3 linked regions of the Canis lupus familiaris genome follow. The protein of the gene in region 1 interacts with the protein of each later gene in a biochemical or structural test. Links are inferred from orthologs where the notes say so. Each region holds a gene or a part of one and is shown on either strand. Other genes may lie near its edges.

What was found.
Region 2: of the proteins of CSNK2B (region 1) and CHEK1, one has a biochemical effect on the other in vitro, tested with the Homo sapiens proteins (2 studies listed by BioGRID, with this or other methods). The link is inferred for Canis lupus familiaris from reciprocal best matches to the Homo sapiens genes CSNK2B and CHEK1.
Region 3: the proteins of CSNK2B (region 1) and TNFAIP1 form a complex in vitro, tested with the Homo sapiens proteins (2 studies listed by BioGRID, with this or other methods). The link is inferred for Canis lupus familiaris from reciprocal best matches to the Homo sapiens genes CSNK2B and TNFAIP1.

Annotation. Positions count from the first base shown.
Region 1 is NC_049233.1:1,286,679-1,290,963, reverse strand, and holds the start of CSNK2B (casein kinase II subunit beta), read right to left. Parts: upstream 2,847-4,285; 5' UTR 2,757-2,846; coding exon 2,708-2,756; exon of another isoform or gene 2,629-2,707; intron 2,618-2,628; exon of another isoform or gene 2,210-2,617; intron 2,110-2,209; exon of another isoform or gene 1,957-2,109; intron 1,834-1,956; exon of another isoform or gene 1,686-1,833; intron 1,365-1,685; coding exon 1,282-1,364; intron 547-1,281; coding exon 444-546; intron 1-443. Other genes in the region: GPANK1 (G patch domain and ankyrin repeat-containing protein 1), read left to right, coding at 3,747-4,285. UniProt on the Homo sapiens protein: Regulatory subunit of casein kinase II/CK2.
Region 2 is NC_049226.1:8,902,112-8,905,723, reverse strand, and holds part of CHEK1 (serine/threonine-protein kinase Chk1), read left to right. Parts: intron 1-2,698; coding exon 2,699-2,807; intron 2,808-2,993; coding exon 2,994-3,171; intron 3,172-3,433; coding exon 3,434-3,565; intron 3,566-3,612. UniProt on the Homo sapiens protein: Serine/threonine-protein kinase which is required for checkpoint-mediated cell cycle arrest and activation of DNA repair in response to the presence of DNA damage or unreplicated DNA.
Region 3 is NC_049230.1:42,558,524-42,562,575, reverse strand, and holds the start of TNFAIP1 (BTB/POZ domain-containing adapter for CUL3-mediated RhoA degradation protein 2), read right to left. Parts: upstream 2,890-4,052; 5' UTR 2,744-2,889; intron 1-2,743. UniProt on the Homo sapiens protein: Substrate-specific adapter of a BCR (BTB-CUL3-RBX1) E3 ubiquitin-protein ligase complex involved in regulation of cytoskeleton structure.

The sequences.
Region 1 (4,285 bases):
TGACCCAGAAACCTGGGCCTCTGGCCCTTCCACCCACCCACCCAAGGCAGCTCTGCCTTCTCTCTATACCTCTTCAGCCTTTACTCTCTTCTCTCCCTCCCAACTCTCTCAACACATAAATGAAAAAGATCAACATAGAAGCTGGAACTCTAGACTGAAAGGTGCAAGGCAAGACAGGTAAGCAGGAAATGAGATCCATGAGGAAACTAACATTAAGGGAGAGAGCCAAGTTACAGGATCAGAGTGTAGAATGAGGCTGTCACAAATCCAGGCAAAAGTCAGATGAGAGAGCAAAATAAAGTACAGAACTTAGGACAAAAGCAATCAGAGAACCAAAAGGAAATTTAGAAATTCAAGAAGCAGATCAACAGGAATTTGGGAGAAAAAAGAAAAACCACACACACACACACACACACACAAAGATAACCCCGAGGATGCCTCACCAGGCTCCAGGTCCAAGATCATGTCTAGAGCTTGTCGATAGTGAGGCACCTGCTCATTGAGTCCAGTGAGATTGAATTTATCCTGGATGTAGTCTTCATCCACCTGTCAGGATGTGGAAGTCAAGAAGAAACCCATAGCAGAATCCTCAGCTTTGATCTGGGCACATTGCTCTAATTGGTGCCTTGTTTCCAACACAACTGCTTCTGTTTTCCCTAATTCCCCACACCAACTCAGCAGAAATCCTTGAGTCTCTCTCCCCAGTTCACATACACTGCCTTCCCATAAAAGCTCTGGCTTTTCTTTCCTAAGGATAAGCAGCTACAACAATCTCTTCCTTAACGAGACACTCCTTTTAAAATCCCTGTTCCTATTCTTGATCCCATCTCTACAGACCAGTTTTGTCCTCTCCTTACCGGCAGCTAGAACTCTAAGAAAAGCAGCGACTAAACAGCTTGGGTCCTGTGGGCAGTTATAATCCATTATATCATTAGCACAAAACTTTGCCTGTTACAAAACATTTTGATAAACGGCATTTTAATCCTAATAGGCTCCCAAATTAAGCACTACTAGTACAAGCCTAGCAATAATAATAAGAATAACAGTAGTAGTAGTAGTAGTAATAAAGTTGACTTTTCCAATATTACACCGCTGGACAGTAACAGGCTTGGGATGGGCAAGTCTTGCCACTTCACAAATTAGTGAGGGGAGTTACTGAAGGGACTCTTCCTTGACAGGAAAAAGTTTCTATGACAGCCTGTAAGAGAAGTAGAAGCTAAATATGTGGAAAAACATACAGCCAAACTTTGTGCGGACATAGCTGGGAGATTGAGAACTCACTTCACAAAAGAATTCATTGCCACGGAGCCCACAGAACCAGGATATCCAAGACACCTCCTCTGAGCTGCTCATCTTCACGTCAGCTGGGAAAAAAAAAAAAAAGAGGGTAAACAAAGGCCAAGCTCCCCCACCCTGTCTCTGGTACCTTCCCTCCTCCCCACACTCTGCTCCCCGACCATGGAAGAATTTGGAGCCCCCTTTTCTTAAAGGATCCTAGACCCTGGCGCACCTGCCTCCAATTCCTCTTATTCACTAGAGGCTCTTTGGAGTCCCACCACTTCTGAAAAACCGACAGGTCTAGGCTCACCCGTCCTACCCACACCCCTAACAATCCCGAAAACCAGCACCCTCTCCTCTTTACGTCAAGTCCCTCCCTCGCAGGGCTCTCGGCTCGAGATCCCTACCCCGCAGGTCTCCGCATGTCCCCGACACCTTTCCCAAGGGTTCCGAAGTTTATCCTTTCCAAGCAAAAGCCAGGACCCTTTCCCCTCACGACCTGGAGGTGGCCCTGGGTCCCTCTCACAGGAGTCCCCACACCCCGCCTCTCAGGCCAACCCTCCCTCCCCCGGTGCCGGACCGGGTCACTTCCTTCCCCACCCCCACACCAACGCGCGGAGACCCCATGTGCCGCGCCTAAGGACGGAAGACTCGATGCGGCAACGACCTCAGACTCACCGGCTGGGCGGGGACCGGGACCGGGACCGGGGTGGGGGAGGGGAGTTGCTGCTTCCAAAGAACCGCGACGGCTACAGCGCAGGCCGCGGACCCGACCGCGGCAGGCGAAGTAGCGAGGGGGGGGGGGCGGGGGGCGGTGTGTGTGGAAATTGGGGAGGGTGGGGAGAGGGCAACGCGCAAGCGCCAAGGGTCGGGCGCCGCAGTGAACGCCGGGAAATGGAGTCCCAGGTAAAGAGAAACTGGCGAAGCGAAGAACAGGCGAACTACGAATCCCAGGATGACCCACGAACGACCCTGGCGTCGCGAGGCCCAGGAACAAGACGCTCGGGGGTGGGGAGCAGCGGGATACCACCGGAAGCGGAAGCGCAGTACCCCGTTCTGGGCCAGGGAGTATGGGAAATAGAGTCGTAGGGTCGCGCAACTGAGGGGCCGGGAGGGGGCGGGGAAGGAACGGGGCTGGAGGGCTGGATTCCTGCAACTCCCCTCACACAGCGAGGCTCTGCCCCAGGTGTTTGCCGGCAGCCCAGGGTGCTGACCTCGTCCCCGACTACCCCACCGGGTCCTTGTTGCCTGCGGAGCCTCTCGCCAGAGTCAGGCCCGCCACTGGAGGCCCCACCCGGGCCGGTGCTTCACCCCGGGGTCTAGTCTCCTCAGGCGGGAGGTGAGGCCGGGCTCCTTGCTTGCGGGACGTGGGAAGAGTGGGCTGGGCTGAGGTGAGCGGTGTGAGAATTGGGACGGCCTGTGCGCTAACCTGAAGTGGCGCCAGCCATTCTGCTGCTCGTCCCCTTGCACTTTTCCATCTCCTCTCAGAGCTTGAATGGGGCCTTCTGCTGCGGGCACTAAGTGTGACCTTCGAACCCTGCTCAGAATAATGGTGAGGGGTGGCGTGACGTTATTTCACTTCACGGCTTCGGGGCATTCCACAGGTTTCCTCCCGCCTTCTCAGAGCCCTCCTTAACTCGGTGGTTTCGCAGGTCCAAAAACTGCGCTCGGAGTGGGGGGCCACGTTCCGGGAGGCGAAGGGCATTGTGGGGCGTTATGTAGAAGTAGGACCCCAACCGACAGAGCCTCTGTCCTCGCGCTGCCTGGGCACGTGGCATCCTGGAGGGTCCCACCGTGCGAAGGCTCAGCCTGGCGCTTCGCACACGCCCGCACCCTCAAGTTCTGCTTTGTGGTGGTTGATTTTTTTTTCAGTCACACATGTGTGTCTGGGTCGTGTGGCTATTGGACTGGCAGCACCTTTGCTTAGATAAAATTTTTGTGGTACAGAGACCCTGTGGGGTCTCCACAGAGACTGGAGTTTCTCCCCCAAATCTTCTTCTTGCATCCGGAGAAGGTTAAAAGTCTGTTTTTGTTTGGAAAGACCCTACCCTGACATAGGATCAAGGAAGATTTAAAGGGCTAGGCTGATTGTTTTCTTAACTGCACGTCTTACCTGGTGATCAAGTAGTTTGAGAGAGAAGCTGTTTTTACTTATTGGTGAGGATAGGGATGGGCCTCTGGGCAATTCTCATTAAATCTTTGTTAAGTTAACCTTTACGAGGGATATGGGCTGTTATTGTATGGCTCCCTGTTTTTCCACATGACCTATGGTCCTTAGGCCCTGTAGGGTCCTAGGTTGTGGGGTCACTTAGAGTATAAGACGGGTTTTTGACTTGGAAAAGGCTACTTTTCCTCATCCCAGCAGATCTGTGGAGGTGGTTCTGGTCAGTGCAGAGCCACCAAGGGATTGGCTTGCTTGTCTCATACGCCCTTTAATTAGTCTCATTGTCTCAGTTCTCCCAAAAGCCATGTCCAGGCCCTCCCTCATCACCTTCACCCCGGCCACCAACCCCAGTGACCTCTGGAAAGATGGGCAGCAGCAGTCACAGCCTGAAGAGCTGGAGCCCACCCTGAATGGGGCTGCAGCCCGGGCTTTCTATGAGGCCCTGATTGCAGAAGAGAGCAGCATCCCTGCATCCCAGAGATCTCAGCCTGAACCTGACAGGAAAAGAAAGAGGAAGAAGAGAAGAATGATGGGGGAAGCTGCTGTAGGAGCCTCAGCAGGACATGGACAAAGGAGATCCCTTGAGGCAGAGGACAAGATGACCCATTGGATACTGAGGGCAGCCCAGGAGGGTGACCTAGCAGAACTAAGAAGGCTCTTGGATCCCCACGAGGCAGGGGGAGCGGGGGGCAATATCAATGCTCGGGATGCCTTCTGGTGGACCCCCCTGATGTGTGCTGCTCGAGCAGGCCAGGGGGCTGCTGTGCGCTATCTCCTGGGCCGTGGAGCTGCCTGGGTGGGTGTCTGTGAGCTGGGTGGCAAGGATGCTGCTCAGCTGGCTGA
Region 2 (3,612 bases), on another chromosome or scaffold:
TGTCGAGTACAGTGATTATAGTCTAAAAGAGAGATAATGAAGCAGAGTGTAGACAGCTCATTCTGGCTGTGAATGAGAGGAAAGAGGACAATGGCTAGAGATGAGTGAGTTTTTAACTCTTCTCTGAATGCATCTTTTATTTTTTTAAGATTTTATTTATTCATGAGAGCATGAGGGACAGAGAGAGGCAGAGACATAGGCAGAGAGAGAAGCAGGCTCCTTGCAGGGAGTCCGATGAGGAACTTGATCCTGGGACTCCACGATCATGCCCTGGGCCGAAGGCAGGCGCTCAACTGCTGAGCCACCCAGGCATTCTCTGAATGCATCTTTTACCTTTCACTCTATTCTAACAGGAATCCAGCTCTCCCTTGAGAACACAGGCTTCCTCCAGTGGTAGCTGTTTTCTTTCCCACACTCTCCTACCTTTGAATCTGAGAGTGGGCAAGCATCCTTTTTGTCCTTTGTTGCCACTTTCTGCCTTTTCCTCACATTTCTCCCCTGCTTCATTTTGAATTTCATATCAGATTATCACCCGCTGTTCCATCCTTGTTACAGTCAGCTTTTGAACCTCCAATTAAAATTCTTGTCACATCATCACTCTCTCCAACTCTTGATGTACATTTTGTCATGGTTCTTGGTAATTTAAATATTCATTTGGATGATCCTTCCAATTTTCTGAACTTATATTTCCTGGATTGTCTCTTTAAGCATCCTGCTTTGACTACTGTTATATTTTCCTGGTTTCCTCTAGTTCCCTGACTCCAGCAATCCTTTGACCCTACCTAGATATGCAATTCACGAATCTACTTCCTTTTCACTATTTCTTATTTGCCCCCTCCCTAGGTCCTTAGCTCCATCCTCATTACTTTATTTATTATTACTATTTTCAAATATTTTATTTATTCATGAGAGACACACACGGGGCGGGGAGGGCAGAGAGAGACACACAGGAAGAGGGAGGAGAAGCAGGCTCCATGCAGAGAGCTGGATGTGGGACTCAATCCTGGGACTCTGGGATCATGCCCTGAGCCAAAGGCAGACTCTGAGCCGCTGAGCCACCCAGGCATCCCATCCTCATTACTTTAAATCCTAGGGTCAGTTATTATAATGACTCCTTTACATTCAGCTTCAGCTTTCCAGCCCTGTTCGCTCTTCATCATGGTTACTGGTCAAAACCTAACCCAAGTTTAATCCAGTTTTCTGCCTATGTACACTTAACACCTGCACAGCGGATCACATTTGGACCAGAATATTAACTTTAAATTCAGGATCACTAATCTCAAGTGAGCCCTTAATTCTGCCAGTCAGTTATAATGCATTTCTCCACTCCTTTGACAGCCTCACTCTCCTAAATCACATTTATATACTTTTTTTTCCCCTTCAACTTTGAATGCCTCTTTTCCCCTCCTCACTCTCAGTTGGTGACAGCATTTCCTATTTCACTGAGAAATGGAAACAGTCACAAAGGAACTTCTACAGGCTTCAGTCATCACCTCCACTCACCTAACCAGCTGCCTCTGTGCTCCTATACTCTGCTTTCTCTTTGTTGCTATGAATAAATTGCTCCAGTTATAAGCCAACTCTCTTTCTCTTGTACTTGAGACCCAGTTCTCTTTTGCTTACTCAGGGACATTATCTAGCAATTCTTCAGTCTTCCTCCTGCATTGTTAATTTTTCTGTATTAACTTTCTCATCAGCATACCAGCATGCTGTTTCTCTCATCTTACTGCCTGATCCATAGGAGGCTTACTAAAATATTTGGATGAAGGAATTAATAAATAAAATGTTTGGCTAAATATAAGTGTGTTTAAATGGTTTAGGGACAGTTCCAGTTGAGAGGGAAAAAGGCTGAAGGTATAAGAGAGAAGGAATGAAGGAGCATCAAGACCCCGAAGAGATAGGAAGGTATGGGGTTCAGGTATGAGTAGAGGGATGGGCATTGGATGGGAGCATGGAAGGGAGGGAAGGATGAGTCGCAATGCAAGTAAATTGGCAGATTTATTAATGGCAAGTTGAGGGAGTTTCTAATGACGTTATTTTCTTTGTGCAGTGGGAGATGGTATCCTGTGCTACGTAATAAGGAACTGGAGGGTGGGTGGTTGTGGGAATTTGATAAGAATGTAGAAGTTTTGAAGCAGTCATTATGGAGAAAGGGAGAGGAAACTGACTGAAAAACATAGGACTATCAGTATTGAGGATCCAGCTAAGGGTATTAACCACAGAAGTTACAGTGGCATCATTTTCTTTGTAATAATTATTCTCAGTAAAGTTTTGCCAGGGGAGAGAGTGCCTGGGTGGCTCAGTTGGTTAAGCATCTGCCTTTAGCTTAGTCATGATCTCTGGATCCTGGTCCTGACACCTGAGCTCTGTGTCAGGTTCCCTGCTTAGCAGGGAGCCTGCATCTCCCTCTGCCTCTTTTCCTGCTTTTGTTCACTCTCTCTATCTCTGTCAAATAAATAAAATCTTAAAAAAATAAAATAAAATTATGACTTTATTGTGAAATCCCACACTGGCAACATACAAATCAGGATTTGTGAAATGTGTAATTTGACACAGGAGTCCTCCTAAGTTTATGATGACCACATTTCTTATGCAATCATGTATGGAGAGCCACTATTTGTCATATAACTATTTTGTTTTGAGTAAATGGATTTAGATGTGGTTTAAAAACATTTGTATTTATGTTTTCTTTTTTTAGGAGCAAAGAGGCCCCGAGTCACTTCAGGTGGTGTATCAGAGTCTCCTAGTGGATTTTCTAAGCACATTCAATCCAATTTGGACTTCTCTCCAGTGAACAGTGCCTCTAGGTAAGATAAATCAATAAAGACCAAATAATTATTGTATGTAATATTCCCATAAAAATAATGCATGTATATATTTTTTCTTGATAATGAATGTAATTTTTTATCAGTGTGAGAATGGTAATGTGATATAAGAAAGGCCTGATTGGTTTTATCTAAAGATATATTTTTCCCCATATCTTAATGCCTCAGTGAAGAAAATGTGAAGTACTCCAGTTCCCAGCCAGAACCACGGACAGGTCTTTCCGTATGGGACACTAGCCCTTCATATATTGATAAGCTGGTACAAGGGATCAGTTTTTCCCAACCCACATGTCCTGATCATATGCTCCTGAATAGTCAGTTACTTGGCACCCCGGGATCCTCACAGGTAAGGGAATTTAGTTTTTTCAAATAAATGATGAGAAACTTCTAGTTTTTTCCTCATAAAGGCTTTTGTTTTAATGTATAAATCTTAGAAATATAGTATTAATATTGTGCGTATATAGATTTTTTTTTAAGGAAGAGATAAGAGGATGCTTTCCTATATAAGAATCTTTAGTCACACAAAAAAATTTTCAGACCCAATAGCTATGATATGACTGCTTTTGGTGATACCAGATTTATTCAGGTTTCCTCTGTTTGACATGTAGAACCCTTGGCAGCGCTTGGTGAAAAGGATGACACGATTTTTTACCAAATTGGATGCAGACAAATCTTATCAATGCCTGAAAGAGACTTGTGAGAAATTGGGCTATCAGTGGAAAAAGAGTTGTATGAATCAGGTATGTTTCATTGATTTTCCTGAAGAAAAATGTAAATATTTGAGTAA
Region 3 (4,052 bases), on another chromosome or scaffold:
CTTGACAAGCAAAAGACTCCCTGGCAGAGGCTAAGGCCCCAGGCAACAGCAAAAGGAGGCATTCCTGCTCCTCTTTATGGTACTGTGAACCAGCACAGTCTTCCAGAGCCTGCCCATCATCTCGCCAGCCTCCTTGAGCCTCGGCACAGGTCAAGGCAGCACAGAGGACAAGTAAACCCTTGGAGCTAGTCTGAGATGGTTTGAGGAGCAGATGGGGCAGCAGAAGTCTTTACCCTGAGGAGCCACATATTTTCTTCCCAAGATTCCTAGGACCCAAGACTTCTGCCAGTGCAGGAGAGTCCCAGGAGCCAGAGGGACAGGATGCACTTCCTTTCTAAAGATTCCAAGCTCCAAAGCAGCTTGCGCCAGTGCTTACTTTGAGCACCACCCACAGTGTGGCTTCAGAAAGTAAAGTAAAAGCAGCTCCAGGAGAGCATGGTATGAGCTGGGGTGGAGGGTACTGGTCAATGTTCCCGGCAGAGTTACCCAGGTCCCAGCGGTTTCCTCACCTTCACCTCTCTTGATCCCCGCCCTGTCCCAAGTTCCTGAAACTGTCACCATTTTTCAGGCTAGAACAACTACAGGATGGCTATTTTTACTTCTTTTTCCTGAAAGGATAGGGCCCAGCCCTATCCCTTCCTTTCTTCCCTACCCACAAGGCTGGAAAAGACCAGATGATAAATCTAAAAACAACTTTTAAGTGATTTGGAAACTGAAACACAGATAGGCATTCACAGGAAGGAGGAGTGAGGAAAGCAGAGGAGGGAAAAGCCAGGTCACCCCTCAGGAGCTAGATTCTATACTATATATACATCTTGGTTTTCTAAGGAATCACTAAAATTCATTCACTGAAAAAAAAAGAGCAAACATTTGCTGCATGTTTACCATGGTCTAGGTAGTGTGTAGACAATATATACATTACTTCATTTAATTCATTCAGCAGTAAAACAAGACTGAGTGCCTACTATGTTAAGCAGTAGGAACAGAGAGATAGATACCAACCTTACCTTTAAGTAAGCAGTTCCAGAAGGTAAGATGCAATAAATAAACTAGGGATAAGAGAATGACTAGGGAGAAGTACTAAGACGGATGGGGGCACAGGAAGCCCTCTTTGGGAAGGTGACATTCCAGCTGAAGTCTGAAAGAGTGTTCTAAACAGATGGAAGAGTAAGTGCAAAGTTTCTCAATCAGACACAAATTTCAGGAACAGAAAGAAGGCCAAGATGTCCAGTACTTAGAAAGAAGAGGGTAGTTGGCTTGATGTAAAATCAGGTAATGCACGGGCCAGTTCACATTAGAGAGTTTGCATTTTAGATTAATTGCAATGGTAATCGATTGGCGGGTTTTAAGCAGGGGAGTGATAGGTCCTGAGTTATTTGCATTTTGAAAAGATCACTCTGCCTGCCCTGTAGAGAATGGACTGTAATGGTGCACGAGAGCAAGCAGGAAGAGTAAAGGAAGCAGCAGTCTAGGCAACTGATGGACGCCTGGCCTGCAGTGTTGGTAATGCAGACAGAAAAAAAGGTGTGATTGCCTCAGCAGTCATCACAGTATGCAAAAGTTTACTGTTGCACATCACCTCCTGCAAGTGCGATCCAGAAGCAGTGCACCGGCTTCCCCAAGTTTACTGCTCTACTATCCCAAACAGTGATTAGCACAATGTCATGCACATCTGAAAGTATTTAATCTATTTCAGTTTGTTAGACTGAAATTGTCCCTGAAAAGATTTAGGTAGCCCTCTAGGAAGACTGTCCAAGGAAGGACCAGAGCGGCTGCTTTCTGAAATGCCAAATTTCTTTGGTGGCTTGTCCTGGAGACTCACTTGCCTCAAGGATGGAGTACGGAGGAGATGAACCTCACCAGCAGATTGTCCAATCCCTAAGTAACACGTGATAGTATGAAATCACCTCACCTTCCCCCACCCACCCCAATGGAGTAAATCCACTCCTTAACAGGTTTTAGCAAGTCCCCTATGCATTTTGAGTCTAGCCCCGATTTCCCCAGGATCAAAGAAAGCAAACATATGTTCCGCCAAAGTAAAGGAACTCAAAGGCTAGGGGGTGGCCAACAGAGCCTACAAAGCAATTGCTTTGAGCCCCTGGATGACGTCAGCTCAGATGCCGACCGCTCAGATTCCTCCCGGGCCAATGGGCTCCAGGAATCTTTGGCAGGTGACGCCCCAGAAAGTAATTCCAGAGAGAATGAAGTTTCCACTGATAGCCTCACTGCAGTTCCTTCCGGACTTTGTGTGTGGGTATTTGGGGATGCCTGGGGCTGAGGGCGTATCCGAGTCTCCCTCAGTGAGGCTAATGGGAACCTAAGCAGAATGAAGGGCAGGACCACAACCACGGCCGTGGAAGAAGGCGGGGTCCTAGAAGACGGACCCATGGGTCCATGACACTCGGTGGGGTGGGTGGGGGGCGGGTGGCCAATCTTGGGTAGAGGAGGCGGATCCAGCAGAAATCCGAGGTGTAAATCTTAGGTTTCGTCCCAAAGGTCTGGAAAGATTAGCGAGACCCAACCTCTCCGTGGTCGGTGGAGTCTTCCCCGGGCCGCACCCCTCCTCACACCGAGAAGCCGACCGATTCTGACACGCACCCCAGTGGAGGACTTGCGCTCTCCATCTCCCCTCCGCCGTCCCACGCCTTCTCCCCAGCCCCGGGTGGGGCTCCTGCCCCTGCTCCTGCTCCAGCCCGCGGCCCGTCCATCCTGTCCCCCAGGGCATCCGCACCCCGCCTCTCACCGTTCCCGGGGGGCACGTCTCCTCTCAGCTGGGTTGCAAGCCGACCCCGTGCCGCCCGGGGCTGTGGCCGCCTGCCCGCCAGCAATCCCGGGCCGTGAGCTCACATCCTCCGCCCGCGGACTCCGCCCTGAGCCGCGGCCCAGCCCCGCCCGCCCCGCCGCCATGCCCAGCACCCAATCACGGGAGAGGGAGGGGCCCCTGGGAGAATTCCGCTGTTGGCGTTCGGCTACTTCCGGCAGCCTTTCCGCCGCAAAGGCCTCTGGATCTTGTAGGCAGCCGTCCCTCCCCACAGGCCCTTTTCCCAGCAGGCTCTGCGGGTTGGGCGGGGTAAGTACTTCCGCAGTCAGGTAATGACGTTACGGGTAAACAGTAGCCGTGGCAGCGGCTGAGGCCGGCGGGCGAGGCACCGGCTGCTGCTGCCCGGGGAGAGAGGCTGCCTGCAGGAAACAGCTCGGGCGGTAGCGCGCCGCCGCTACGGGGTTGCCAGGTAGGCAGCGACTCCGGGCCGGGGGACGCGGGCGGACCCGGGGCGACTGAACCTGACAGGCCGAAAGAAACGTGGGGATTCCGCGCGCGTCTTTGCGAGCGGTGAGACTCCAGCTGGGGCCTGGAGCTTTGCGTGGATGCTCGCAGCGGCCCTGTGACGAAACCGCGGCCCAGAAGTTCGAGGCGTTTCCGTAGTGTGGACAGCCAGCTCCATCACCCAGGTCTTCCTACCTGTGTGCCCGGCGCCCCTTGCCGACTATCCCGCGAATGGCGCCTGCCGGCGGGGCCGGGAATGGGTCTGGGAGAGCCAGGGAGGCGGAGAGTGTCGCCGCCGCCGCCGTCTTCGGGGAGCCCCGCGCGGCTCTGGTGCCCGGTGTTCCTCAGATGCTCAGACACGCACGTGTGGTGGGAGTTGGGAGGGAATCTGATAGTCGGCTGTGAACCCTCTCCCTGCCCTCCTTATCCGGTCTTATCCGTCTCATTCAGCTCTGCCCACCGAACTTAAAAGTTGGCGCTCGAGCCAGATACAGGGGAATCTTGCCTGCCTCTTTCCTTCCCTCATCCCAGACTCCTACATTCAGTCGGGGCTTTACTAATTACATCAGCTTATGTAACATCGCAAATGGGGACGCTTTTCTTCCAAGCCTTGGGTACTGTAATAGCCTTTTCTGTTTCCAGTCATTCATTCCACAGACATTTACTGAGTGCAGGCACCCTGCTAGATGCTAGGGTTACAGCGATGAACAAGGTATGTGTAGCCCCACTCTCTTGTTCCCTCCTCCACCCTGGGTCAGAGTGATGGTTGTAAAAGACACATATGTCT